Cricetulus griseus: one gene and its partners. The protein of the gene in region 4 purifies or fractionates together with the protein of the main gene of each other region. This does not show direct contact. Links are inferred from orthologs where the notes say so. Each region holds a gene or a part of one and is shown on either strand. Other genes may lie near its edges.

Region 1 (4,474 bases), on a different chromosome or scaffold from region 4:
ATTATCAGAGAAGTTGAGTAAATTTGCCTAGTGCTGCACACCAGAAAATTGGCTGAGCTGCATCAAAAGCCAGCTGTTATCTGGGTGCAAAGTCCATCTTATATGCCTTTGTCCCCATGTCCAGGGTGGCAAAAGCAGTTGACTCAGTGCCAAGCACCTACCTGGTGTGTTCAGAGTTTCCACAGAAGTCAGACGGGCAAGTAGGCAAAGGGAGTGCCTGGAGAACGGCGGCCAGAGTTGACTTTTTTAGGAAAGTCACTCACCTGCACTGTGTGGCCATTCCTTTTAAGTGTTGTAAATTTTTTTTTTTTTTTTTTTAAATGAAGGCCAACAAACACCCCTGCTGGGCAGATTTGGCCCTGCTACTTTGCTAGCACTCTCCAACCAGCCATCCCTCCCTCTGACTAAAAAAACTAGTTTTCTCTATTTGGAGCAACTTAGGACAAGCCAGGTAACCTTGCATTCATGCTCCTAAATTTGCTCCGCGAACCTGGCCGGGCCGGTGCAGAGATCTTGCTCTGCTCCTCTCCTCCCCGAATTCAAACGCAGCGAGAGGGGGGAGAGAGCTGATGCTTTTCTTTTTTTCTTTTCTTTTTTGGGTTTTTCGAGACAGGGTTTCTCTGTGGCTTTGGAGACTGTCCTGGAACTATCTCTTGTAGACTAGGCTGATCTCAAACTCACAGAGATCTGCCTGCCTCTGCCTCCCGAGTTCTAGGATCACCTTGTGTAGGAATCACCTGACAGTCTTGTTTGACCTGCAGGTCAGACCTGGGCGGTTTCTTTCCTTCGAGGGTAGGGGGGAAGGAATGTTGCCTGGTAGCTGAGGCTGGCCTTAGGCTAACTTGCAATCTTGAACCCACGCTCCTTCTTAAGGAGTTCCTGGGTGTTGCAGATACTGCTGACCCCTGGGTTTTACTGGAGAAGTCTAGAGCTCCTTTCAATTCGGGCTCCGGGAGTGGTTGCCACAGAGCTTCCTTTTGCCTGCCAGACATGCTGGGTTTGTTCAGGTTTGGGTTTATATAGACTAGCCAGGGAGACGGCAGTCGAGGGCGAAGGCGGTGCACTGCCAAGCTACCTCTAGGCCTGGAGTTTCAGATCTAGAAGGCCAGGAGGAGTGGAGGAAGGTGTTAGTTAGGTCCTAACTGGAGAAGCCTCTGGAGGAGGGGCATGAACCACAGGAGCATTCTCTGGCCGAGGAGCAGAAAGCCGGACCGAATTCTGTCCCCTGGGTATTTCCGCGTATTCCATCCGCTCCTAGTTTCCCAGGGTATCCCACGTGCATTTAATCCTTAAGTCCCAGCCCATCAAGTTTCTCCTCACAAGATCGGGGGTTTAAAAGCGGCTGCGCCGTAGAGCACTCCCATGGTGCCGCGCGCTGGGCGGGTTTGTATTTTAAATCCCCGCGGCCAATCAACAACGCGCAGGTCCTTGTAACGTTCCCAGCGCTGCGTTTGAATTCGGGGAGGAGCGGAGCAGGGCAAGATCTCTGCACCGGCCCGGCCAGGTTCGCGTAGCAAATTTAGGAGCATGAATGCAGCGGCCAAAAAGCTGGCTCGAGCACCAGCCGATCTCGGGAAAGCTGGGGTTCCTGGAGATGCAGCTACCGGTGCCCCAGTGACCGCCCCGCTGTCGAAAGAGATTCCTGAGGTCTTAGTGGACCCACGCAGCCGGCGCCAGTATGTGCGGGGCCGCTTTCTGGGTAAAGGAGGATTTGCCAAATGCTTCGAGATCTCGGATGCAGACACAAAGGAGGTGTTCGCAGGCAAGATCGTGCCGAAGTCTTTACTTCTCAAGCCCCACCAAAAGGAAAAGATGTCTATGGAGATTTCTATCCACCGCAGCCTCGCACACCAACACGTCGTAGGCTTCCACGGCTTTTTTGAGGACAGCGACTTTGTGTTTGTGGTTTTGGAGCTCTGTCGCAGGAGGGTGAGTGTTTCTGCTGTGGTGTTGGGGCGACCACACCGGGAACTTGCTGGCAAAGAGGCATCGACGCCTTGGAGTGGCCTAGAGGAGTGCTTGGGTTTCAAGCAATTATGAAGGGGCTCCTGGTGAGGGTGTTTGGCATTCCGAGCTGCTGAGGCCGGGGGTTGAGGGCAAGCGGAACCCGGGACCTGTTGCTATTATTAGGGAAGGTGGCTCCTGCACGCAAGACTGCCAGTAGGTGCAGGAAATGGGTGTTTAAAGTGATTAACAAGGGTCCCAAGCTACGGCTGCCGCGGACCTAGAACTTCCGGAGTGGAGTGGGGCAGGGTCTGGAGTGGGGGAGGGAGGAGAGGCTGTCTGGAGTCAGACCTCAGCTTTCAGGAAAAGGAGAGGGTCTCCTGCTGGGAGGAAGCCCCTAAATAAGGGGTTGAGAGAAGACGCTGGGTAAGGGTACTCGTTAACAGGAGAGGGGTCCTGTGAATGATAATGGCCTGACCAGTGTATGGACAGAACCATTAGGAGCCTGCCAAGACATAAGAATTATGGGTTAATAAGTGGAAGAGTTAGCTAAGCCTGTACTATAGGCCGAGCATTTATAATTAATATAAGCCTCAGAGTAGTTATTTGGAATCGGCTGGTCGGGATAGGAAACTTCCGTCTATACTTTACTCCCGAGGGTTTAATCTTGGCCACATCCAGCTGGCCACCCTTTTCCTTGGGCTTAACTACCTTCTTCCCTCTTCCTCAGTCTCTCCTGGAACTGCACAAGAGGAGGAAAGCGCTGACCGAGCCCGAGGCACGCTACTATCTACGTCAGATAGTCCTGGGCTGCCAGTATCTGCACCGAAATCAGGTCATTCACAGGGACCTCAAGCTAGGCAACCTCTTCCTGAACGAGGATCTGGAGGTGAAAATAGGTGAGGTGCTGGGCCTGCGGGTGTCTGGTGCCAGTACAAGAGGTGGCAAGGAGGGGAACTCTGGGAGAATGGGAGCCAGAGAAGTGGAAGGTGGGTGGGAAATGGAGGTGCTGCCCTCCAGAAAGCCTTCTTGTCCAGAAATGGAAAGTAAGTGTCCCACAGGCCAGTGTTTTGCTGTCCCTTTACTGAGCTGAAAAGCACCTTTTCCCTTGAGACTCTGATTTGCCTCAGTCCCTATACTCCTGTCACTTTTCTTAAACTTGTCACAGTCACAAAGAATATTTACTTGATTCCCTAGTGCATCCAATTCTGCTATCCTATGTATTTTAAATTTCATATATGTGGGGTTCGAGATAGAAGGTAACTTTCTGGAGTCAGTTCTGTTCTTCCATTGTGGGTTCCAGGGTCAACTCAAGTTGTTAGTCTTAGCGGCAAGCACCTGTACCTACTGAGCCATCTTACTTCCCTAGCCCTGCTATCTAAAGAGGAGTGTAAAGGGCAGTGGGAAGGTTCGGGAACAGAGACTGGAGTCTTGAGGCACTGGCTCTCTATGGTCAGTCCTGAGGCAGTTGTCTGCAGCCACAAGATGGCCTAGCAGCTAATCACCTCTCTTCTTCCCTCTGTCCCAGGGGACTTTGGGCTGGCAACCAAAGTGGAATATGAAGGTGAACGAAAGAAGACCTTATGTGGCACTCCTAACTACATAGCTCCCGAGGTGCTGAGCAAGAAGGGACACAGTTTTGAGGTGGATGTGTGGTCCATTGGGTGTATCATGTAAGTTGGGAATGGACTCAGGAGCTATTGGGTCTCAACAGGATTTTCTGAGGCATTTCATCCAGTTGACCTTTCCCTCTGGATCCCACATGAAGCCCCTTTTCCTTATTTATCAATCTATAGCATTCCTGTAGCTTGGACTTATGGTCCAGGGAAGGGACCAAATGTGTCTACACTTCTTCCTCCAGCTCCTTGCTGCTTACTAAAAGCATGCACTAACCCAAACCATCAATACCTCTGAGGGTTTGTTAGGATGTGGAAATCTCAGTTCTGGACCTGGGTCTAATAAAATCCCTGGCTGACTTTCAGTAAAGCTTTGGAAACACTGATGAGTGCTGATGGGAGAATCAGATCAGCAGAAAGGTTCATGGTAGGCAGAAGCTCCATCATGGTGCTTGTGCCTGTGGCAGATAGCAGTGGCCTCTGCGGTTCTTGAGGAGTCCTCTATTACTGCAGGCCAGAGCTGGGGAATCTCTAGCGCTTGGTATTCAGTGTTGTCACCTGCATTCTTCTGAGGGCTTATCCCAGCCATTGGCTTCTATGAGACTGAGCAGACTTGGAGATCAGCCTCATCCGTTCTGAGTCAGTGAATCCAGCCCAGCTCCCTTCCTCTAGACAATGACTTCTGCATTTGGACTTTTCTGGGAATTTGAGCAAAATCCTTCCTTGTGCCTCCAGGTACACCTTGCTAGTGGGCAAGCCACCTTTTGAGACCTCATGCCTAAAAGAGACCTACCTCCGGATCAAGAAAAATGAATACAGCATTCCCAAGGTAATGGCACCATAATGCTTTAATTTATTTTATGTTCCACCCAAAATCTGATCACTGAGCCCAACTATATCCTGGGGACAAAGAT
Region 2 (3,953 bases), about 65 Mb from region 4:
GCATATGGATTTCAAGTCTGGGGCCCTCTGCCATGGAAACGTACCATAGCCTGGGTGGTTTAAAGAGAAGAAATTTAATTTTTACAGTTATATACATGCTAATCAACTATCATGGTGCCAGCAGGGCTGCTGTCTGCTGACCCAACTTCATAGCATACTCTACCTTCTCAACGATAAGAAGAAAGATGGTTGTTTTACTTCCTCACCTACAAAGCCCACAATCGTAGCATATTATGGCCTGCGGGTAGGACTTCATTGAAAATCAACAGCTTCCTGAAGACAGGCCCTTCAGATACACTCATTATAGGAGTTAGGGCCCTGATACATGAAGCTGGAGGGGAATAAAATTTTCTACATAACTTTTTACACTGCTTCCTTCGTTAATATCTTCATTGCATGCAAAATGCATCCATTCCATCTCCAAAGCCCTTGATGTCTTAACTTACTCCAGTCTCATGTGAAGTCTAAAGTCCAAAGCTGAATATTACCTATATCATGTATGAGACTGTGTGACTGATCCTGAGGTAAATTCCCCTCCATTTGGCGACTGAGAAGGCAGACAATTTGGACCCCAGAATATAGGCCTGAAACCAACACAGAGCAATATTCTTTTCCAAAAGGGAGAAATGGGAAGGAACGTAGAGGTGACGTCTCTTAAATAAACCCTAAAACTAGCAATAAAACAGTTTACTTAAATACCTAATATAAATATTATGTATATAGTTGTTACACACACACACACACACACACACACCAGAGAGAGAGAAAGAGAGATCATGAAACTCATGACTTTTTTCAATTTTTAAAAATTTTAATTGAAATAGAATTAGATTACTTCTCCTCTTTCCTCCCTCTGTCCCTTCCTATGTCTCCTGCTTCCAACCCCTCCCATGTCTTCTCCCCTTCTTCTCAGATTGATGGCCTCCTTTTCCTTGATTTTTATTGTTACACTAAAACACACACACAAACACACACATGTGCATAAATATGAAATACAACTTGCTGAGTCCCTTTAGTTTTGATTGAGTGTGTGTGATTTCAGAGCTGACTACTTTGTATTAGATAATAAATTAGGGGTACATTGCTGGGAGAAACAAATTCTCCCTCTTCTTTGAAGACATTAGTTGCTCATAATTTTTTTTTCGTGGTCTAGGGAAGAGACCCCATGAGACCTCCCACTTCTGCTTTACTTTTAGTATTGATATTGTCATTGCCCAGGTCATATCAACAATATGGTATCATGGGTGTAGCTTCCCTGTCATTTCTAAGAGACACAGTGTCACATCAGACTTCTTGGTCTTCTAGCTCTTACAATCCTTATGTTCCCTCTTCAGTGATGTTCCCTGAGTCTTAGGGGCAAGAGTTGTGTTTCAGATGTATGCATTGGGGCTGGGCTCTCCACAGTCAGCTGATGTTTGATGACCAGTTGCTACTTGTAACCCTCTCTGATGCAAAGAGAAGTTTTTTTTTTTTTGGTGTGTGGTGAGAACTACACTTGGCCAACAAAATGGGTTCACAGGCTGGGGTTCCTGAGCTAGGCTTGAGACAGCCGCACGCAGCCCTATCTGATTTTTGAACCTAGCTGGACTCACCTTTCACTAGCTCCCTCAAATTCTTAGAAAATTCCAACGAAAACAAACAGCTTCAGGACATTAGAGCCTCACCTATGTTTACTACAAACATGTGACATTGTGTGGTGTTTATCTGGGGGCGGGGAGGATAGAAAATTATCTTGCCCAGCCATCTGGATGATGCTAGCCTCTTCCTACTGGTTTCCATGTAGCTCATTCTTATCATTTTATAATCCTTTTCGTATTTTCTTATAGTTCACAGTAAAAATGGTCTGATTTTCTCTATTGAGCTTTTCTACTGTATCTGTTTCTGTCTCCTTGGATGTAATCATAGGTGATGGAGATGATGTAGATTAATCACAATAGACAGTTACAGATGTAGATACAGGTACACCCACACCTGTAATTTTAGTAGAAACATTAGAACTTCCGCGTTGAGAAATCTTGGAGTTTCTGTCCGATTTTGAAAGCTATTTTAATCTCTTCTGATAAATAGAGTGAAATATATTTACATGCTTCAGAACTTCAAACTACTTGGCAAAAGTAAAAGATTTTCATAAGCCACACAGTAAAACACAGCAAATGTTTCTCTTAAAATCTAGCAACATAATTGAACTAATCACAGTCCTTCAATTCCACCTATTATTGGTTCTATTTGCAGAGCCCATTCAGAAAATCATTTACTGAGTGAATCATTTTACTAGAATGAACAGAAAAGGAGGACTTTCCCAGGTCTCCTGCAACTCCATATCCTCATCATCTAGAACAGTTCCTGCTACAAGTTCACTGAATGATTGCTGAATAACAGAAGGGAAAACATGAAATAATTATAATGTTGATAATTATTTATTAATAATGGACTTGTTTTTTCTGCATAAGATATTTTGAAAACAGGATACGTATTTTTGAAAGGAAAAACTCAATGGGGCAGTTTAAATTAAGTTTACAAAGGAAGTATGTAAAATATATTATTTTAGAATATTATTATTGAATATTTAAAAATTCATATTAGGTGAAAATTATGTGTGTTCATAAGAATAAGCCTTTTATAATATTAAGAATCAAAAATATAGTTTCTTCCAATTTATCTGTGTCTTTCTAATGTAAAAATATCTTAATAAAAATTTGAGGTGATTATCTCATTTCAAAAATAAGATTTGAATGATGGACTGTTGCTGAACTGGTGGTCATTCCAGTGTGCTAGGGGACTCATAACAGAGTCTTTCCCACACATTGGCCTTCTCATTTGTAAAGGAGATGAAATCAATTCTTCCCACTTAAAAATGTTGACTCTAGAAGTCCTGGTGTTTGACATTACAGTTGGAGGCTTCATTGACTTCTCAATCGCACTGTATCACTGCTAGAATTAGGAATACCTGCAATGTCTTCAGGGCAGCCAGCACCTGTTAGCTCTTGGCAGAGTGCATCATTTCCAGTTTGGCGAAGAACATCCAGGAAGGTAGAAAACCAGTTTTCTTTGTGCACGATCCTTCTCAACAGCTCTCTTACACCTGACTCATTCCCAGCATTTCCTGCACCAGAAATCTATCATTTCAACATAAAGGAAGGAAGAGGAAACACTGTCTGAACACATGAAAAGTGAAAATCCTCAAAAAGGAAAGTCAAGGGGTTAAGCGTACATATAAACAAATGCTTATATCCAAACACTAAAGAAAACAGCAGTGTTCCATGCAATTATTCCAGAATCTATCAGGGAAAAAAAGTCATTGAATCAAATCCTCTTCTAAATATGCAGTATTTTTTAATCCAGAGAATTGTTTTCATTAGGCTGAATTGGTTGCTCAGTGGTTAGAGGCACTTGCTGCTAAGTTTCATGGCTGATTTCACTCCCAGACATCACATGGTGGGAGGGGAAAACCAGTTCTTACAAACTGTCCTTTAACTCTCACTCCTCATTTCCTCTGCAGTTCCCACCACAAATGAAACTCCTAAACAAAAATTTTATTATAAAGGAAATAGTAAATAGTTGAGAAACTAATAAATGTTTTGCTTGAGCTTCTGTGACCAAAGTCAAGAGAAAGTATCTTCAATCTGTTTTCATGTTATGGCTTGTGTGTGTCTATGTGTATGTCTGTGGGTGTATGTGTATGTCTATGTGTGTATGTGCATGTGTGTGTTTGTATGTCTATATCTCTGTGTGTCTATTGTATGTCTGTGTGTGTGTGTGTGTGTGTGTGTCTATGTATGTGTCTCTGTGTACATATGTGTGGGTTATGTGTCTGTGTGTATATATCTCTGTATATGTGTATGTGATATGGATATTAATGTATACCTGTGTACTCCTCTGTGTATGCATGTGTGATGGCCAGAAATTGACCTTTGCTGTCTTCCTTATTCATGTCTTCTCTTTATTTGAGGGTC
Region 3 (4,512 bases), on a different chromosome or scaffold from region 4:
CTTTAACCCAAATCTTAATATTGATAAAACCCAAACAGTTCTCACTCCTAAATTGCAGACTCAAATATAAAACTACTTGGATACTTAGAAGTCTACTCAAAAAAAAGAAGAAGAAGTCTACTCAAGGGGCTGGAAAGATGGTTCAACTGTTAGGAGTACTCAATGCTCCTCCAGAGCATTTGGTTCCTAGCACCCATGTTGAGCAGCTCACAACTATCTATAACTCTAGTTCCAGGGGATCCAATGTACTCTTCTGGTCTCTGACACAGACACACACACACACACACAGAGGTGTGAGCACAGACAGACAGACAGACAGACAGACAGACAGACACACACACACACACACACACACACACACACACACACACACACACAAATAAAAACTAAAATTAAATATTTTTAAAATAAAAAGAGGTCTTGTCAAAATTAATTTCCCAGAACTAGAAGTATATCTCAGCAATGGAGTACTTGCCAAACATTCACCAGACTCTGGATCCCCAGCAGTACCCAAAAAAGTGAGTCTCCCAAATCCACTTCTATCCACAACTTCCCTTACTATCAGTTGAAAACAAATCCATCCCCCAACTATCAGGACAAAAAATTTGAGCATTTCTGAGTTTTTGCTTGCTTGTTCGATTAGTTTTTCTGTTCCTTTATCTTCCCCCCTGCCCATCTTTTTAATTCATGAAGACACACTATAACATTAGGTATTTTAAGTGTGATCATGGTGTTGTAGTTATGTTTATTGAGAGTACTTTCTGAAAGAGATACATAATGAAACACTCACATGTCTGAAATTCACTGCATAACAAAAGAGATACCTATGGATAAACCCAATAGAAATGAAAACACATGTCCATATATAAATGATCACAGCAGCATTATTCAAAGCAGCCAGAGTGGAAACAATCCAAATGTCCACCAACTGATGAATAAGCAAAATCTGTTACAAAAACAAGAACACATGCTCCAAATAATTGCTAAGAGAAAGAAATGTCACTAAAAGCTATATACTGTATATACTTACAAGCATAAGAAATATCCAAAACATGTAAATCCTGACAGAAAGTAGTTTAGTGGTTACTTAGAGAAATGAGGTGGATTGGAGTTTCTTATTTAGGATTTCTTTTAGGGATGATGACAATGTTCCGCAATTAGTGATGTTTTCACACTCCTATGAACCCACTAAAAACCACTGAATTATACACCTTAAATACGTGAATTGTAGCCAGATGTGGTGGTGTACTTCTGTAAATCCTAGTACTTAGGAAGTAAAAGCAGGAGGATGAGAAACTCAAAAAGAAGGGATCTTCATGAGACTCTCTCCAAAAATTTTGAATTATGGGCAAGTGACACATCTCAGTGGATAACTATTGGTATGCAAGCCTGGAAACCTGAGAACACATTCTGGCCATGACACTCCACACACATCATGCATACACACACACAAATAGTAAATATTTTTAGTTTTTAAATGTGAATGGTGCAGCATGCAAATTATGTCTCAAGAAAGCTGTTTTTGAAAATTATAATGGGTGGAGCAAAAAAGATGATTACTCAGTGGTTAAGAGCACTTGCTGTTGTTGCAGAGACAGTTCCCAGCACCCACATGGTGGCTCACAAACATCTGCAACTCCAATCCAAGGGGACCTCACACCTTCTCCTGAATTCCTTTAGCAACAGGCAAGCATGTAGTACACATACATACTCACAGCCAAAACACCCACACACATAAAATAACATCTTTTCTAAAGAGGAAAAAAAATCATGGTAGAGTACTGTAAGGGCTGTGAATTAAAGTTAGCTATGAGTTGATAGAGACAACTAAGAAATGTGTACATGGAACTTACTATGTTAATATTTCTACTTTTGTACATTTTTAAAGTTTTCAGTAATAAAAGGCTGACAGCACTATCATCCTTCACATGGATTACTGCAATAATCTCTTTACAGATCACCATGCTTTCTTCCCTTGCCTTTTACAATCAATTGACCCCACTGGGACCAGTTACATCAAAGATAACTTTGACTGTTTCTCCCTTTTATCGTGAACCCTTCAAAAACAAAGGCAAAGTCGGTACACTTGAAAAAGCTGAGGCAGGAGAATCTTGTGCTCGTGGTCTGCCTGGCCTACATTTCGAGATGCTGTTTCAGAAAACAAAGTTTCATCAACAGAAAAATGTCTGTGAACTAAGAGTTCTAGCACTTGGGGCCAAGCCCTTAGGCGACAGATAAGCAGAGGGAAGGACAGAAATCAGTCCAAGTAAGCTGGGTCGCGAATCTGCACTTCTTGAATAAATGCTCTAAAAAGCATTCGAAAGCATGCAACAGAACAAACTGGGCCCAAGGTGGGGGGAAGGGGGCTCAGGAGCCTCGGAAGCTGCATAATGGCCACCGATGGAGCCCTATCTTTGGAGAAGAGGACTACACCTGTCAGCAGAGTCGGCCAGAAGTGAAGAGGGCCTGAGCAGCGGAACCCGACCTCTCAGATTGAATCGGAGCTCTCAGAAAGTCCTGGTTGGGCGGTCACCCTTCCCTTCTCGGCTGTGGAAACCCCTGCTTCCGGCTTCCGGTGTCGTAAGTGTGGGATCCGGAAGTAAAACACAGACTCGAAGTCGAGGAGATTAACTGGAGCTGCGAAGCCACAATAGTGCTGCATCCCACTCTGAAGAGAAGCCTCAGACCGCCAGCCTGCATTGGCTAACCGAAGAGCGCAACGCTCTTCACTGATAAAGATCACACACACACTCACACACACACACACTTACACACTTTTTTTTTTTTGATACAGGGTCTCTCTCCTAGCTATCCAGATCTACCTGCCTCTGCTTCCCGGGTGCTTGGAATTAAAGGCGTGTGTCACCTCGCCCACAGTTGTCCCCACCCCATTTTCAAGGCGTCGCATTCGCAATGAAACACCCCAGTTTTAGTCTGGTTCTGTCACTGGGCTCTCTGCCACCAGGTCCCTACCATGGAAAAAGCCTAGAAGAAGCTGCTAAAGGACGCCAAACCGATTGCAAGGGGAGGCGTGGCTATGCTGCTAACGGAAGTGGGGTCATCCAGGAGTGCGCAGGGACTCGAGGGTCCATCGGAAAACAGACCATAAAGTATGGCTGGGGTAGCGATGGGGACGCAGGAGAACTGTGCGGAGCTGTATCTGTGCCAGCAAAGCATCACGATCGCGGAGCAGGAAAGCAGGGACGGCCAACAGGGTGGGGCTGACAAGGGATGCGTGCGCACCTACTTCTGCTACTCTCCCCTCCCTCACCGATGGAGTAGTCCGAAGCTCCTCCTCTCCTGCCTCTCCTGAGGCGGGTCAGCTCAGTCAAAGCACCCGCCCTCCTGCGTTAAACGAGCCAGCTAAGCGCAGCCCCCGGAAACGAGCTGTGCACTCCAGAACTGTAAACCTGTTTGGCAGCAGCAACTAAACACAGGTAAAGGGGGTGGTCTGATAGCACACCGGTGGAGGGATGTGCTTCCCGCTTATGAGCCGCGTGTCCCTTTGATGAGCGCTATTTGTTATGCTTGGATATGGAAAAAGATCTACGAGGTCTTAACCCATCCCATTGTACCCCGCACTTCCCCGCATTAGGCCCATGAGGACTAGACTTTTAGAAGAGAAGGGTCTTTCTGGGATCATTTAGCTTGGCCAGCAGAGAGCTGGGGCTGAACTCCATCATCTGCACAATGAAAAGATGCTCAGTTCATTGTGGCGTTTCTGGCAGAGACTGGAGTGCGATGGCCCCAGACACAGTGCGATGCTCTGACCGCGTCGCTTTCCCAGAGTGGATTCCCTAGCTGAATTCCATTAATGCTTATAGAGATTTCGTAATGTACAGCCCCCAGAGAAGACAACATAGGATATGGCTGGAGCCCAGAAGCAGCAGTTTCTGATTCTGATAAGGTTAAGTTGTCAATGCTCTTCTGTTCTCCTGCCTTATCAATGAGTCTTTCTTCCACCAGAAAACACCATGGCAGAGCAGGTGGCCCTGAGCCGGACCCAGGTGTGTGGCATCCTGAGGGAAGAGTTGTACCAGGGTGATGCCTTCCACCAAGCTGATACACATATATTTATCATCATGGGTGCATCGGTGAGTCTCCCCTCAGGCCCTGAGTGTAAAAAAATCAAATGTAGCATTTTGCAAGGCACTTCTCTCTCTTTACCTGAACTTTCCCAACTGACTGCTAAGGGGCCACACAGGTTCTAATTTGAACTCACGGCATATGTTCCCACCTGTGTGTCCTGATCATCACAGCAGTCAGTACCTGCTGTACATCATGTACTTCTGTCAAATTTCTCATTTGCAAGGCTTTTCAGAAATCTATGTTCAGCCATTAAATGTGGGCCAGACTTGGAGCATGCAAGTTCTAAAGCACCATCTACTTGAACTTCTTCCTCCTGGATGGAAAAAAAAAAACTGAGGTGCAACCAGGAAGTGCTATTCAGTCTATATGTTTTCCAAATCTGTAATTTGACAAATGTTACAGTTGCTTTCAGTGAAAGGATCT
Region 4 (3,953 bases):
GCTGTCTGATTCAAGCTTTGCATCCTTTGCTGCTTTGCTTCTGCTAAGCCTCTGCCTCCTTACCTGTAAAGTCTGTAAAGTGGGGATGATTATAGCATTTGTTTATTTATTTATTTATTTATTTATTTATTTATTGGTTTTTCAAGACAGGGTTTCTCTGTGGCTTTGGAGGCTGTCCTGGAACTAGCTCTTGTAGACCAGGCTGGACTCGAACTCAACAGAGATCTGCCTGCCTCTGCCTCCCTAGTGCTGGGATAAAAGGTGTGCGCCACCACTGCCCGGCGATCATTTAATGGGACAGTGCCTGTAAAACTAGACATGGCCAGAGCCTTTTCCTGGCGGCACCCTTTATTGTTGTTGACTGCTCCTCCTTACTCCATACTTGTGCTACCACCCTGGCCTTGTCCTCCCTCTCGCCCAGTATCAGGTAGCTGCCTTCTTCTTGTGGCTTTCTTAGTGTCCCCTTTGCAGTAGCTCTCGTCTGAGTGGAGAAAAGCCTGGGCAACCTGGCCTGAGTAGGGTGGCTGTACTGTCTTCCAGGATCGACTGCGGGCTTCCTATACGCAACTAGGGAACCGGGACACACTCTGGGAACTCTTCAATAAGCTCCAGAGACGGGTTGGCTGGGTAGAGTTCTTCATCCGGGCACTGAGGATCTGTGAGCTGCCTGGACTGGCTGACCAAGTGACTCGAGTGTATCAGAGCTACCTGCCTCCTGGTGAGCATCCTGCCCTAGCCTCCTTCCTGGGACCCTGCCTGTTTCTCGGGCTTGCAATCTTCCTCTTCCTTCACCTTGCACCTCCTGCCTTTCTATTTTCATCACTCTCCATCATAGGATCTACCCAGGCTTAATCCAGTTGAGCCACTCACTAGCTGTGTCCCTTCGGCAATATTCTTTAATTTTGTAGTCTGTCACAGTGGGGCTAATGGCCACATCCCTCATGTGTGGCTGCAGTGGATAGACACCACAGGGTGATGCCTGTTGAGTGCTTAGCTAGAGTTCCTCGTCTCCCCTATGCCCAGCACAAGGCACCTGCCGTCAATTTTGTAGCTCATGTGTTTGCCTCCCTACTTGGTCCTCATTTTCTCTCCGATCTCTTTTCTCTACAATGTAGAGTGTAGAATCTATACCCAATCACTTACCCCACTCTTCATTTCTCTTTCCCTCCCCAAGGTTTCTCTAAGAACATCCTGGTTTCTAAGCCCAACACCCAGCTGCCCAGTTGCTCCTTAATTCCTCTTAATGTTTCTGCCAAGTCATGTGATGGTGGGGGGTGGGGGGTGGGGAGTGAGGGTGGGGTGTTGGTAATTGGGCCTGAAGAGAAGATCCAGGAAGAAAAATCAAGCCAGTCTTGAACACACCATGTTTGCTTTTCTCTTTCTTTTCCTCCCTTCTTTCCAAGTTGGTCTCTTCATTTGTGGAAGTCAGCAGTGCTCTCTCAAGTAGAAGTGACTACTATGGTAGGGTCAGAGATGGGCTGTGGCAAGGGTTAGTTGGAGATGACAGCCGTGAGGAGAAAGCCTTGGGACAGAGAGGAGTGACCACTGACAGTGTAACTGGGCTCCTGCCCCTCCATCTCCCTTGACACCTTTTCTGTCTTCTCCAGCGCCTGTCCCTCCTGCCCCCTCCCCACGAATTCATCCCACGTCAGGTCATTTAAGTTATTTAAGGGAGACATCTCAAAAGCTTCCAGGCCTCTTCTGTTACCAGGATAATTCTGATTATTCTTGGCATCGCTACATCTTTGTCCTTTAGGGACTCCACTCCGCTCCCTAGCTCCCCTGGAGTCACCAGCAGTTCCTGCTACAACCTCTGGACCTTCTGCTGCTCCAAGTCACAGCATCCCTGACAATGGCTACCAAGAGGGACTAGGCTACCCCAGGCCTGTCCAGGACACCCAGCCACCAAATTCCCCAGGAGAGGTAGGTTCCCAGTCTACTTCAAGGCCCCTTGCTTTTGTGTGCTTGCCTGCTTCTGCCCACCCAGCCTTCCAGAAGCCCCTTCCTACCTCCTGAAAACCGTGCCTTATCTCTGCTAAGAATACTAGGTTTCCTTCATGAGCTACCTGACTGATGGCCAGGCCTGTAGCCACCCCAGCAGTCTGTCATCAGCTAACTAAGAGGCCCTGGTCTTGAGGTCTTTACAGTGGTCATGTGACATGTTGGGCTGGGTAAAAGACTAGGGGATAACCAGATCTGAATGTGAGGGAGGTGATATGAAGGTTCAGGAAGTCATGGGTGGATGATAACAGGGTTCTTTATTGTTAACAGTGAAGTCAGGTATGGAGGAAAGATAACTAGTTCTACTGAGATGAAGTGAGTCAGCCATGGGCTGTAGAAGAGACGCCAAACTGGGTCTGAAGCCATAGGATCTGCACAGAAACTGCTGAAGAAAGGGCTATATGCAGTGGTTACAGAGCCAGACACAGACACATGGATAGGGAACTTGGGCAGTACATGGTTTTTTGTTTTTTGGTTTTTTTTTTAAGGCACTTGAGGTCATCCTAGGAGGCTGGGATGTAGTTCTCAGTTGGTGGAGTTCTTGTCTAACATGCACACAACCCTGAATTCAGTTTCCAGTACCATATAAGCTGGGCAGATAACTCATACCTATAAGTGTGATACCCAGGAAGTAGAGGGAGGTAGATCAGAAGTCACATAGTAAGTTCAAGGCTAGGGTGAGATACATAAGACCCTATCTCAAAACAAAGCAAAAATAGTAACATCAACAACAAAACCAAATAGATACCAGGGACTTATATTAGACAAGTATACTATTGACGAGCTACCCCCTGGTATGTGAAGATAACCTATGGCCAGAAACAAGGCAAGGGTTCCCGAGATGCTGGGAACAGGAGCTGGAGCTTATAGATGCCCCATAAATGTCTGTTGCTCTTTGTCAGCTCTTGGGAGAAGCAGCTGCTTTATTACCATTTCTTCTATTGCAGAGTTTAGAGCAACCCCCACAGGCCAGCCTCGGGGCCATCCCGAGGATGCCGTCATCTAACCTGCAGGCTGTCAGCCCTCAGCACTCCAGAGAGCATCATGGTCAAGAGCCAGAAGTGGGTGGAACCTACACAGCAAGTATGCACAGAATGTGGTATTACAGGGTCTCTCAGACCTCCCAAGTGAAGGTTGGGGTTACAGTTACCACCTGGCCTTTCTGGGACAGGATGCAGGATAGGAATAAAGGGTATTCACTTCAGAGAGTGTGCAGTGTGTGTGTGTGTGTGTGTGTGTGTGCACGTGTGCGTGCGTGTGTGTATGTGCGTGCGCGCGTGCGTGCGTGCATGCGTGCATGTGTGAGTGTGTGCACGCAGCAGCTTATATTCATTAGCACGTGGCTCAGTTGGGTAGGTCTTCTGGTCTTGTTGATGAACTCTTACGTACTCCCTGACATATACATTTGTTCTGTTAGTATTCATTGGCTGGCGCCTCTTCGTTCTCTCATCCTCTAGCACACAAACCCAATTCATAGCATCTGGGCAAGGCTCTGGGTAAAAGAAAGGCAGGGCTGTGAGGCATAGACTCGAAACTGGCCTTATTACTCCTGCCTTGTTCTGTGGTCAAAACAAGTTATAAGGCCAACCCAGATTCCGAGAACGGAGAAACTGGCAGAATCACACCGGAGGGTGTGATGGCCGTGTAGGTGTGCATTGCTGTACATTGCTGCATGTGAGACAGAGTTAGCACTATTTCTGCACTCAGGTAAAAGGACCTGGTATGGATTGACCAGGACCTGAATGAGGGATAGCATAGGACTAGCTGATGAGGGAAGCTCTTTTTCTTTTTTTTTTCCAAGACAGGGTTTCTCTGTATTGCTTTGGAGGTTGTCCTGGAACTCGATCTTGTAGACCAGGCTGGCCTCAAACTCACAGAGATCCCCCTGCATCTGCCTCCCGAGTGCTGGGATTAAAGGCATGCACTACCAACACCCAGCAAATTCTTTTTCT
Region 5 (3,953 bases), on a different chromosome or scaffold from region 4:
TATTTACTTATTATGTATACGACATTCTGCTTCCATGTATGTCTGCACACCAGAAGAGGGCATCAGATCTCATAACGGATGGTTGTCAGCCACCATGTAGTTGCTGGGAATTGAACTCAGGACCCCTGGAAGAGCAGTCGGTGCTCTTAACCTCTGAGCCATCTCTCCAGCCCAAGTAGCCTCTTCTTATCTCTATGGTGTCACTGCGGCTGTGGCTGAAAGGTGCTTGGCTGAAATCATCCCGTAGGCCACTGCTGCTTCCAGACAGGCACAGCCATCCCAAGTTTTACCAGGGTCTCAACTGGAGAAATGTTCTGAAACAGGCCCCGTGTAACAGGTGGTGCAGGGCCAAGCAGGCGCTCCTGAATCCTGAAAGGTGACTTCACCATCCACCCTGGCTGTGTGGGATAGCAAAGTCACCAAATCTGTCATGTGTTTGAGGAAACACTTGACACTCCAAGCCTAGTCAATAAATGTGCTCTCTGCCCAACTGGCTTTAATGCACACTGTTGCAGTGGTTCTCCCTCTTTTTTTTTTTTTTTTAATCTTTCCTGTCTTTAGTTTGTGCGTGTATGTGTGTTTATGCTTGTGTGTGTGTGAGTGTGGACACGTGGTGCATGTGTGAAAGTCAGAATTCAATCTTGGTTGTCAGTCATTACCTTCCACCTTGTTTGAGACAGGGTGTTTTGTTTGCCATGGCATAAGCCAGACTCACTGGTCTGAAAGTTTCCGGGTTCTCCTATGTCCGTAAGCCATCTTACCATGAGAGTTCTGGGAGACATGCATGCTACCCCATCTAGCATTATCTGGGGTCTGAAGATCTGAACTCGTGTTCTCATGCTTGCATAGCAAGTGCCCTTTGCCCAGTGAGCCATCTCCTGAGCCTTGTGTTTCTCACTATTTTCCTCTATTGACCTCTCCCACTGAGCCATAGGCAATGTTTTCCTAATTGTCCCCTCCAGTGAAAATTTGATTCTACGCGTGTACAGTATATCGGTTTATTTATAAAAAGAATAAGCAGTAACCAGGGCATGGTGGTTGCATGCCTTTAATTCCAACACCTGTGAGTTTGAAGCCATCGTGGTCTACATAGGGAATTCCAGGACAGCCTGGGCTATGCAGAGAGACCCTGTCTCAAAAAAAGGAAAAAAAAAAAACAAAAAAACAAAAAAACTCGCTCTCTAGACCAGACTGGTCTTGAACTCACAGAGACCCACCTGCCTCTGCCTCCCAAGATTAAAGGCATGTGCCACCACCGCCTGGCAAAAGAACACCTTTTACACCCCACACCTCAAGCCTTAGATTTTTATCCCTGTTCCCCTCCTCCATCGGGGATAGTGTCACTGTCACTGGGAATGTGGACATTGGGCTGGAGAAGAATAGTAGGAATCTCCTTGCTCCTCACATTTGGAAAATAATGACAGTTGAGCCCGTGGGATGAAAGCAAGTGAGGTTCCCATGGGACACACTGATTGTTAGAATTCTTTATAACCCTTTTAAACCAGCAAGCTGTAACTATTTCCCCGAGGTCTACTGAAAAGGCATCTAGATGCCCGCTGCTAGTGTTGTCAGGGGTGTAAGAGGTGCACTTTACTGCTTGTTGCTTGTATATAATGTGTGAGTTGTCTTTAGCAAACCACTGTTGGGCATTGGTCTCTCTGTGGACTAGAACACCTAGTGACAGGGTGTGCTTGGAAGAGCCCTGGGGAAGGCAGGATGTGTTTTTTGTTGTTGTTGTTGTTTTGTTTTTGTTTTGTTTTGTTTTGTTTTTCAAGACAGGGTTTCTCTGTGTAGCTTTGGAGGCTGTCCTGGCACTTGCTCTGGAGATCAGGCTGGCTTCGAACTCACAGAGATCTGCCTACCTCTGCCTCCCAAGTACTGGGATTAAAGGAGTACTGGGATTAAAGGCGTGTGCCACCAACGCCCGGCCAGGATGTTTTCTAAGCACTATTGTGACATTTTAACCAAGACTATTTTTTTCTGACCTCCTCTTTTTTGCTTGTTTTTTTTTTTTCCTTTTGCAGAGTTCTAATCTGTAGCAAAATGCACAGACCCTAAATGTATAGTTAAATATGTCTTTGACAAATGGGTTCCATCTTATCATTACCCAAACCAACGTAAACACTTCTTAGAAATTCCTTCCTATTTCCTAATAGTCTATAACCCCATGACCCCATGACCCCATGACCCTGGTCAGGGTTCCTGTCCTTGCAGATGTGTGTTTGTCCGCCACCCCCTATATTTTAAGTTAGGCAGGCTAGCCTTCCTTAGTTTGTATGTGTCAAATGCATATTGATGAATGTTACTATGGTCTTTTGTGTATGCTTTAAAATTCCTTAATCCTAAAATCTCTCTTTTTTTAGAGGAAAAGAAGACCAAGAAACCAAGTAAGTTGTACATTTGTGTATCTCTTGGTTCTCAAGACTTGTGTGAGTCTAGAGCTAACGTTGAGAGCAACAGCTGTACTGCTTTAACAAGGGTTCTGCCATGGCCCTGTTCTTACAAATGTACGCTGTGAAGGCAGGCAGGCTTGAGCAGGGAAGGGAGGCCCACCGTGCATGAGTAAGAGCCTTATCTGGACTCACTTGTGTGGCCCTGGCTGGTCAGATGTGTTTGTGAAAGTTGACAGCCATCTTAGAAGGGGGGAGAGGTCATCCAGTCCTCTGTGTCATATTGCTGTTTCACCTTTGTCTTCTCTTGGCTCTCAGCTGGTGCTACCGGCTCCTTTCCCAGCTCTTCCTCATTCAACAAGCTTCCCACCTTTGGAGCTCCTGGACAGTCAATGGATTTTAAAACAACTGACCCTGATGGTGAGTTGTTGTGACCAAGTGCCAGAGAAATATCTGCCATTTGTCCCAAGCTTGTCTTGAATACCTCTCTCTGTTTCCTCTTCTAGCCGCACCCAAAGCCAACACCTTGCAGCCAAACTCTACTGCACTCAAAGCTAAGATGCTAGAAAACTTCTTAGCCAAGTCTAGGGCCGAGCTTCTGGAGTGTGAGTAGCTTGACTATGTGGATGGAAGAGTGGGTGGGCAGATACAGATAAATGGGTAGATGGATGGGTGGGCAGGTAGTTGGATGAATAGACAGATGAATGGGTGGTCAGTGTACCAGTGAGTGGGGAGTTGGATGGGTTAATAGATGATGCGTGTATCTGAGTGGGTGTTTGGAGAGATGAATGGCTAGTTGGATGGGTGGGTGGGTGGGTGGGTGGGTAGATGGATAGGTGTATGTGGATAGGTAAATGGATGAATGGGTAGGTGTGTATATGGTCGGGTAGATGGATAGATGAGTGGGTGGGTGAGTGAATGGATGGATGAATGGATGAAGTGTGAGTGGGTAGGTGGGTATGTGGATATGTGGATGGATAGGTGAATAGCTGGGTGGATAAAATAAATGTATAGATGGGGAAGGCTTTAAAAGTGAAAGTACCTTGGGTCTCTTGTCATTGATTCCCGGGGGGTGTTTTCTCAGATTACGTTAAAGTCGTCTTCGACTACAATACTGCCCACAACAAAGTGGTTCTGTCAGACAACTATACCACCGCCTCCGTGGCTGAGGGACTTCAGCACTACCGTACCCATCCCCAGAGATTCACCTACTGCTCTCAGGTTCTGGGGCTACAATGCTATAAGAAAGGCATTCACTACTGGGAGGTTGAGCTGAAGAAGAACAATTTCTGCGGTGTAGGCATTTGCTACGGCAGCATGGATAGGCAGGGCCCGGAGAGCCGTCTGGGCCGTAATGCCAACTCGTGGTGTGTGGAATGGTTCAACAACAAGATCTCTGCCTGGCACAACAATGTGGAGAAAACCCTGCCCTCCACCAAAGCCACTCGAGTTGGTGTGCTTCTCAACTGTGACCATGGCTTTGTCATCTTCTTTGCTGTCACTGAAAAGGTCTATTTGATGTATAAGTTCAAGGTGGACTTTACTGAAGCCCTGTACCCAGCC
Region 6 (3,953 bases), on a different chromosome or scaffold from region 4:
AAGAAAGAAAGAAAGAAAGAAAGAAATCCTTGTTAGGAATCCATGTGGGATTGTTTCAAAAATCCCTGTAACCTCAATTCCCCTTTTAAACCCCAAGCCTCCCTGTGGATTCTTTCTCCCCATTCCTTAGACCTCAATTCCACTAAAAGCCAAATTTCCAGAAGATTTCCATGTATGCAAGAGGCAGCCTCTCCCCACTGAGAGAAGACAAGAAATGCATACAGATCATGAGGCATTCTGGAATCCTGGGAGGAAGGAACAAGGAGAGAGAGAGAGAGAGAGAGAGAGAGAGAGAGAGAGAGAGAGGGAGGGAGGGAGGAGAGAGGAGAGAGAGGAGAGAGTTGGTGTCAGGGATCTTTACCTTAAGCAAGTTGAATAGGAGAGGCAGAATCCGCAGAGGCAACAGCTTGGCCACGATGCCCAGTACCAGGCTGACATCCTCCCCAACGCGGCCCACTAACTCAACCACTTCTTTACCCACTCGCTGCAGGGCTGTTTTTCGTAAGCCCAGCACAATGTAGAGGGCAGCCAGGTATTCCTGCATAGCGGGCACCGTGAATACGAAAGTACCCAGGTGTCCTGGTTCCACACACGGGGCCAGGAAAAATCTCAGGGCATCCCGTCGGAAGATCTGCAGCAGTTGAAATTCTTCCTCTGTCTTGATGCCAGCTTCCAGGCAGCCACGGACATCCTCTTCAGAGAAATAGGTCTTGCGGGATGACACGCCCTCATAGGCCAACTTGCCCATGGTTCGGGCTGCATAGGCCATCAGGGATAAATTGGAGGGATGGGTGCTGTCCAGTGTTTCACCGCTAAAGTTCAGACGAAGGAAGCTGGTGTAGATGCTTGTGAGGGTCTGGCCAGCAGGTGTAGGAGCATGCAGGAAGTGCAAGGTAGCACAGACAAGCCAGCAATAGGAGGGCAGGAAGCAGGCAGCGGCAATCTGGTGGTGCCCCTCCAGGTTTCGGGACAGCATCTGAATCAGGTTGTCCCGCTGAGCTGGTGTGGCTGAGACACCTGCGCCCCCTGCACCGTATCCACAATCAGGCTGGTTAAGGCGGAGCTGGAAGTAGAGCTTCTGCAGGTTGGTATCAGAGAAGCCACAGATCTCACCATAGCGGCCCACATACTTGCTAGGGATACGGCCAATGGCAGAGGGCCGGGTAGTTACCAGAATGCTGGCCTGGGAAGGATATGGTTAAAGGTTAATAGAGAAACTTCTGTGTCTCAAGAAACCTGATTGTCACAGGCCTTGGTGGTGCAGGCCTTTAATCCCAGCACTCGGGAGGCAGAGGCAGGCGGATCTCTGTGAGTTTGAGGCCAGCCTGGTCTCCAGAGCGAGTGCCAGGATAGGCTCCAAAGCTACACAGAGAAACCCTGTCTCGAAAAACCTAAAAAAAAGAAAGAAAGAAAGAAAGAAAGAAAGAAAGAAAGAAAGAAGAGAAACATGATTGTCTCAAGCCCATAAAGATTGGGGGGAGGGTCCAAGAACGAAGGGCACCATAGTTATCAACATTATAACTAACAGCGCTGGGCATTGTGGCACACGCCTTTGATCCCAGCACTTGGGAGGCAGAGACAGGTAGATCTCTGTAAGTTCAAGGTCAGCTTGGTATAGTTAGTTCCAGGCCAGCCTGAGTTAACAAAATGAGAACCTTCCCCCAAAAATTCATCAGCATCAATTACTGATTATTTCCTATGGCCCCAGGCATAGAGCTAAGCACTTTATATATGGTATCTCACTTAACCCATACAGAACAAGGGCAGAAGGAGAAAAAAGTTTGAGAAGATAAATGACTTGCTCAGGGTCCCACAATTAAGAAGTGGAGGGGCCAGGGATTGAACTAACCTAGGTACTGGCCTACACAACAACCATGTAGGCCAAGAACATAGAGTTCCCTGTGGAGCAGGTTAAGGGGCAGCGGCGGCAGGGTGTATGTAGCAAAGAGCAACCCACCTCAGGAAGCATGTATTTGCGTAGCAGGTTGACCATGATGGCAGCTGGTGCCCCGGGTTCCGCTGGGTCATTACAAAGCCCTGTCCCTGCCAGCCGGAAGTCAAGGTTGAGACGTTCCAAGCCATGGAGCACAAAGAGCAGGCGGGATCCGGCAGCGGTCATCAGGGGCAACACCTCCTTCAGGGGTGTGTAACGCTGGGTCACAAGTTGGCACAAGGAAGCTGGGGTGGAGCCCAGGGATGACAAATCCTCACAGGAGAAGGGGATGAGCAGCTCAAAGGCCGGCAGCCTCCCGTAACACCAGTCCAGGACCATCTTGCGTACCAAGGTGCTCTTGCCAGTACCCACGGTCCCATACAGCACCACTGTCTGCACGCGGCGCCCACATGCATCTGGGTCAAAGAGCTGAGACAGAGCCAGTGGGGGCAGCCCAGCGTGGGTTCGTTGATGCCCCGTGGCCAGCTCTGTGGATGGGCGAAGCAGCTCATCTGGGGTGCTCTCGCGGATCACAGGGTCAACATGGACTGTGTCTAGAGCAAAGGTTGGTCCAAACTGACGCTCCTCTCTAGGCAGCCGGCTAAACCACTCTGTGAGGTTCCGGCGATGCCTTTGGATGGCTTCTGGATGAGAAAGCAAAGGACATGGGTTAAAACAAGGGAAGAGATGCTTGCTCTTCCCGCCAGCCAGGGTGGCTGTAGGTCAAGATGGGGAGTAACACAGAGAACTCAAAGATACAGGAGCCCATCGTGGTGTGGACAGATAGAATTCCCTTAACCAACAGATCACTCGTAAGGTTTAGGAGCCCTGTGACAGAACACAGGGAGCCTCTGAACCAAGCCTAGGCTAACTGGCTTCCTGACTTTCTCTTTGTATAGTCTTAACTAGTCATAATCTGGCTACTGGACCCGAGGTTGGCTGAAGGTAGGGAGAGACTGTCTCTGTAAGTGCTTTGTGTATGGTCCTTGAGCACAGCACCAGTGATGCACAGATGATGCAAGGAAGAGAGACAAGAAGGGAAGGACCACTAGTGGATGGCAGCAGTCGATTCCCTATGCTTTCCTCATCCTCCCTCTCCTTCCAGGCCCCTCTCCTTCCCAAACCCTCCTTTACCAGCAGCAGAGATACTCCTGAACAGCTGTCCATGCCTCCCTGGTGGGGGAACACTGTCTGCTGAGTTTCCATGGTGACGGATAAAGGCCCTGGGAGAACAGACATAGGAAGATTTGGGGCTTAGAATGGAACTCAACACTGACGTGGGCTCAGTCCAGTCCAGTCTGTACTTTCCAAGATGACACCCGACTCCTACCCTTCCCAAGGATCGAGGCCTGGCCCCTCCAGCCCTAATTGCTGCCCGCCTGAGACTCAGACTGGCTTCTGCTAGATCCACCCACCCCCCATCATCATGTGTGTCTACATAATCCGCCCCACCCCCATCGTCTACATGTGTGTCTACATGATCTAAGCCGACTTCCTCTGGATCCCAGGAAGTTGCCTCTGTACCATGCTGCCATCTTGCCCAGGGGATCATGACAGCACATTCTAACCATTCCCATACCCTGATCTATGTCTTTCTATGTTCTGAGGCATGACACACCCAGGTCTCACCTAGGGGTCCCAAGGGGATGCACCCCTTTAAATGGCCAACTCCAGTGGGTCAGGAAGGAGATACGCTCATCTACAAAGAGAAAAACGAGGCAGCATCTGTAGATCCCATCTACATCCCATCACTAATGCACACCCCAACACTGACATCATAGCCCCCTCCTATTTGCACTTACAGTAGCATGTGCTATTCCTCAATAGCAGTTATAACATAATCTTCTATTTAGTAATATGATTATTTGATTATCATCCATTTCTCCTTCATGAATACAGAGTTCACATCTGGTTTTATTCACAATTATATACCAAGAACCTAACCCACAGTCTGGGACACAGCCAACACACAGCTAATGTCTTGGATGAAAAATAAGATTGATACTGCTAGAAGGAGCCT
Region 7 (3,953 bases), on a different chromosome or scaffold from region 4:
TTATTTAAATAAAGTAGAGCATAGAATGGGGTATATGAGATACACATCCCCACAACATTTTGGTGTGTTCTGATCTTGCCAGCCATTAGAATCTGTGATGAAATTTCCCAGTTTTCACCCAGAATCCTCATCCATGAAGGAATAAAATACAAAGCCTTTATTTTGCCACGAGGAAATAGTTCTTCTCAGTTCCTCTTCACCTTCCCCATCTAAAGCTTTCCCTACTTACCTCAGTCATTCAGCCTGCCCATTTATAACAGAATCAGCTATGTTCCTCCAAAGCTTTGTGTATCAGAGTTCAACCCCAGCAGCCCACAGTGTGTGACCATATTTGGAAATAGGCAACTTCAAATAGGTAATTAAACTGAATCCACAGTGTTGGCCCTAGTCTATTTAGACAGTATCAGACACAAGGAAAGGTTGTAAGAGTTTAGAACATGGACACACAGCTGGAATGTAATGCAAAGACTCGAGGAAGAAACACACACCATACACAAATGTGGAGACTCACCACAGTCTCTGAATGTTACAGCCTGGATGCCGGAGGGCCTCACACAGCACCCTCATACCAGGATCCCCCAGAGTATTGTCGCTAAGGTCCAGTTCAGTGAGGTTCTGGTTGGTGCTTAGACTGGAGAAGAGGTCTCGGCAGAAGCTAGACGTGAGATAGCAGTTTGCCAATCTAGAATGGCACAGAAGAAGGACAGAAAAGAACATGGTTTTCTAATGTTAACAAAGTGGAGCTCAGAGCAGGCTCCCGGCACCTATTCATAGAAAAGTCTCCTAGATGTCAAGCCACCAGTCATAAATGTTCATTCAGAGGGAAGCAGGCTGGTGAGCCTTGGGTAGAGAGAGGTTCCTTTTGAAATGCAACGAAGTAAACTTTAGGCTTACTACAAACACCCTCAGACACCTCCTTCCCACATTAGACAGCTGGTGTGCCCCTGGCCTGGACATGCAGCAGACTGGTCCAGGATGTCCAATTGTAAAGTCCCGAGCCATGCTGCAACCACAGAAGCAAAGTCAGAATCTTAAAAGCTAAACCCATCTACATTGGTAGTTTTCATTTTCACAGTCATTTCTAGGATTCACATTAGAATATCCCTTATGAGAGTTTCTTTGTATACATGCAGGACTAGCTTTGTGACTCTGAACCTCTGATGAGGATACCCACATAGCTAGTCCTCTTGGAAGGTTCTGTGATAAACCAAGAAAGCCTCTGCTCAGCAAGGAAAATGGCTGTTACCTAAAGTAAGAGATCCCAACTTCTCATCAAGGGTTTTAGCCTGAGTCTCTGCCTTTCTCAAGAGTGTGTGGTCCTAATCTGGCCTCTTAGCCTCTCTCTACTCCTTTAGGGCCCTAAGGAGCCAATCTGTCTTCTTCTATCTCGTCTCTCTTTCCATCTCCCACTGGCATCATCTAAATTTTCACCTACTCTTCAAAAATTCAGATTGGTACCCTAGTCTCAGAATGTTGGGATCAGGAGGTGAGGTTTTTGGAAGATGGTTGGTCATACGGCAAAACCTCATAGATAATAACAGTACCTTGTGAAAGAGACAAACAAGGAGTTGCTTCCCCTCCTCCCACCAAGTAAAAAGAAAAAATATGTGGGGTGCCCAATATTCAGTCTTCCCATCCTCCACAACTGTAACAAACAAACCTTTTATCTTCAAAAATAACCTAGTTTCAAGCATCCATTACAGCAGCATTGAAATAAAGAGGATTGAAGTAAGACAGTGAGCTAGAGCTATAGGCTACATCTCCATGCACTGCCGCAGTCCACCTGATACTTTGTGCTGCACTGATATTCTCCCAAAATGCTTATTTCTTAGTTTACTGGATTTTGTCCTCAACCCCAATTATCCACCTAGCAGGAGTCACTCTCTACCAATGAAAAGGTGGCAGTCACATTATCATGAAGCTGGGCAATTATATTTGGAACATCAGAGAGGAGAGGAATTAAGGACCAAGAAATGTAGCCAGAAAGCATAAGGTGCTGGCTACCATCTTCTTGGAGCCAAATGCCCTTACCTGGAAGAACAGGCAGAATAGGGCTCTTGGAAAGCACACGGGACCTGGTCCACCTGTCGAGTTCCCCCCTTGTCTTCGTCTTCTTCCTTGGGTGAGTTGTGGAGAAACCCCAGGGAAAGTGTTTTCACCCGATGACAGTTCTTGATACAAAACGAAGAAACCACATGGTCCATTCTGGTAGAGAGGTTGATCTCAATTTTGGGGAAGTGGTCCATGGCTCTCTGCACAAAGTCTTCCTCCTGCATCTCATACAAGCAGTAGAAGAGTTCCAGCTGACTGGGCTGTCTCTGCAGCTTCTTGGCCTTGGCTTTCACTTCAATCCATTTTAGCAGTTCCTGTCTGACTTGCTGAGAGATCTTGCAACTTAATTTCTTCTCCAAATAGGAGGTTCTCTCCTGGTTTACAAGGCCAAAGAGGAAACGGACAACAAAAATCAGATAGCCTTTTTCAAACTTGCCATAATTTTCTAGGAGGACCTTCACATCTCGGTTCAGAAGATCTGAACAACCTGCTGGTCCCTTCCTCATAGCTGTCCCCTCTTCTTCCTCTTCCAGCAAGTAGTACATAGCAGCAAAGAACTCCTGGAAGGTCATGTGGCTGAAGCTGTAGAATCTCTCACAGTCCACTTCCTTTTGGAACACGTTCATCCTCAGGAATGCAGAGACGTCTGCCATCTGCAGGCCATGTTTCCTCAGATCACACTCCTCAAATAGGATTTTCTGGTTCCAAATGCCATCTGCAGCCAGTGAGCAGAGCCCCTGTAGGTGGGAAGAGAAGAGGTGCTCCTCCATGTCCCCTCGGGATTGCAGCAGGCTGGAAAGGAAAAAGACATAGACAGCGGTAGTGGTCTTGGAGGTCTGGGCCAGGCTCTTTCCAGTCTCCATCTGCTGCTTCAGTCCTGTGCACACAATCCAGCAGACCAGGGGGATGAAGCACATGGTAAAAAGAATCTCATTCTCTTGGATCAACCTGAAGGCTTCCCTGGCCTGCAGCTCATCTGAGAAATACTTAAAGAAATACTCCTTCCTTTTGGCCTCAGAGAAACCTAGGATCTCTACATGGCGAGGGTGGTCCAGCAGATGCTGCAGCTTCTCCAAGGCTACCGGCCTCGTTGTAATGAGCAGAGAGGCCTTGGGCAGCAGCTTCTTTCGGATGAGGCTGCTCAGCAGAATGTCTCCCCTCACAGCCTTCTGCCAGTCTGTGCAGACCTCTCCAATGTGCTCATCAAAGGCTCCTTGCAGCTCATCAAAACCATCCATGAGGAAGAGGATCCTGGAGGGCTTGTGCAGGATCTTGCACACTGGTGGGTTTGAGTCAGGCCAGCAGCTGACAATCAGGTCTCCCAGACTCCTTGATGTTCTGAGGCTCACCTCTCGACAGTGGATAAAGAATACATAATCAAATTTGTCTTTGAAGAGCTTCCCAGATGCCCAGTCCAACATAATCTTCCTGGCTAGTATTGTTTTCCCAATGCCTGCTGCTCCCTGGAACACCACTGTGTGTACAGGCTCTGTGTTTTCATCCTCTGGATCAAACAGTGACCCCAGCTTAATGGAACTCATGCGGCTATCCCACATTTTGGTCCTGCCAATGCTCAGTAATTCATTCTCTCTCTCCTGCTTGCTCGGATGCTCCTTGACCAGTTGTAGCTGAGTGTAGCGTTTGTTGAGGTCCACACTCTCACCCAGACGTGCATTCCTATCTTTGATACAGTAGAACCTGCTTCTCACGTGTTTTCTGTACATCTTACAGTAATCTGCAACAGAGACAGGAAGGTAGAATTCAGGAAAAGCCCACACATACCTATTCTCCAACAATAAGCTATTAGTGGACCTATGCTCTTATAGGAGGAACATTGAAAATTGTGAGGATCCAATAATAACAACAACAAAATGCACAGAGTGCTGTCAACTAGGGAGAAG

What was found.
Region 1: the proteins of Mavs (region 4) and Plk1 purify together in Homo sapiens (affinity purification with mass spectrometry; 3 studies listed by BioGRID and IntAct, counting the BioPlex papers as one, with this or other methods). This does not show direct contact. The link is inferred for Cricetulus griseus from reciprocal best matches to the Homo sapiens genes MAVS and PLK1.
Region 2: the proteins of Mavs (region 4) and Ifih1 purify together in Homo sapiens (affinity purification with western blotting; 12 studies listed by BioGRID and IntAct, with this or other methods). This does not show direct contact. The link is inferred for Cricetulus griseus from reciprocal best matches to the Homo sapiens genes MAVS and IFIH1.
Region 3: the proteins of Mavs (region 4) and Ikbkg purify together in Homo sapiens (affinity purification with western blotting; 4 studies listed by BioGRID and IntAct, with this or other methods). This does not show direct contact. The link is inferred for Cricetulus griseus from reciprocal best matches to the Homo sapiens genes MAVS and IKBKG.
Region 5: the proteins of Mavs (region 4) and Trim25 purify together in Homo sapiens (affinity purification with western blotting; 3 studies listed by BioGRID and IntAct, with this or other methods). This does not show direct contact. The link is inferred for Cricetulus griseus from reciprocal best matches to the Homo sapiens genes MAVS and TRIM25.
Region 6: the proteins of Mavs (region 4) and Nlrx1 purify together in Homo sapiens (affinity purification with western blotting; 4 studies listed by BioGRID and IntAct, with this or other methods). This does not show direct contact. The link is inferred for Cricetulus griseus from reciprocal best matches to the Homo sapiens genes MAVS and NLRX1.
Region 7: the proteins of Mavs (region 4) and Nlrp3 purify together in Homo sapiens (affinity purification with western blotting; 4 studies listed by BioGRID and IntAct, with this or other methods). This does not show direct contact. The link is inferred for Cricetulus griseus from reciprocal best matches to the Homo sapiens genes MAVS and NLRP3.

The regions. Positions count from the first base shown.
Region 1 is NC_048596.1:78,505,711-78,510,184, reverse strand, and holds the start of Plk1 (serine/threonine-protein kinase PLK1), read left to right. Parts: upstream 1-1,437; 5' UTR 1,438-1,527; coding exon 1,528-1,929; intron 1,930-2,674; coding exon 2,675-2,843; intron 2,844-3,472; coding exon 3,473-3,617; intron 3,618-4,295; coding exon 4,296-4,389; intron 4,390-4,474. UniProt on the Homo sapiens protein: Serine/threonine-protein kinase that performs several important functions throughout M phase of the cell cycle, including the regulation of centrosome maturation and spindle assembly, the removal of cohesins from chromosome arms, the inactivation of anaphase-promoting complex/cyclosome (APC/C) inhibitors, and the regulation of mitotic exit and cytokinesis.
Region 2 is NC_048599.1:112,265,665-112,269,617, reverse strand, and holds part of Ifih1 (interferon-induced helicase C domain-containing protein 1), read right to left. Parts: intron 3,117-3,953; coding exon 2,948-3,116; intron 1-2,947.
Region 3 is NC_048604.1:1,290,190-1,294,701, forward strand, and holds the start of Ikbkg (NF-kappa-B essential modulator), read right to left. Parts: upstream 3,206-4,512; 5' UTR 3,108-3,205; coding exon 3,105-3,107; intron 2,588-3,104; exon of another isoform or gene 2,434-2,587; intron 1-2,433. Other genes in the region: G6pd (glucose-6-phosphate 1-dehydrogenase), read left to right, coding at 3,975-4,094. UniProt on the Homo sapiens protein: Regulatory subunit of the IKK core complex which phosphorylates inhibitors of NF-kappa-B thus leading to the dissociation of the inhibitor/NF-kappa-B complex and ultimately the degradation of the inhibitor.
Region 4 is NC_048599.1:47,330,578-47,334,530, reverse strand, and holds part of Mavs (mitochondrial antiviral-signaling protein), read left to right. Parts: intron 1-540; coding exon 541-718; intron 719-1,756; coding exon 1,757-1,923; intron 1,924-2,948; coding exon 2,949-3,084; intron 3,085-3,953.
Region 5 is NC_048600.1:102,152,636-102,156,588, forward strand, and holds part of Trim25 (E3 ubiquitin/ISG15 ligase TRIM25), read left to right. Parts: intron 1-2,363; coding exon 2,364-2,387; intron 2,388-2,708; coding exon 2,709-2,810; intron 2,811-2,896; coding exon 2,897-2,995; intron 2,996-3,474; coding exon 3,475-3,953.
Region 6 is NC_048597.1:155,948,934-155,952,886, forward strand, and holds part of Nlrx1 (NLR family member X1), read right to left. Parts: intron 3,633-3,953; coding exon 3,563-3,632; intron 3,157-3,562; coding exon 3,068-3,156; intron 2,578-3,067; coding exon 1,958-2,577; intron 1,184-1,957; coding exon 362-1,183; intron 1-361.
Region 7 is NC_048600.1:73,610,922-73,614,874, reverse strand, and holds part of Nlrp3 (NACHT, LRR and PYD domains-containing protein 3), read right to left. Parts: intron 3,788-3,953; coding exon 2,032-3,787; intron 683-2,031; coding exon 512-682; intron 1-511. UniProt on the Homo sapiens protein: Sensor component of the NLRP3 inflammasome, which mediates inflammasome activation in response to defects in membrane integrity, leading to secretion of inflammatory cytokines IL1B and IL18 and pyroptosis.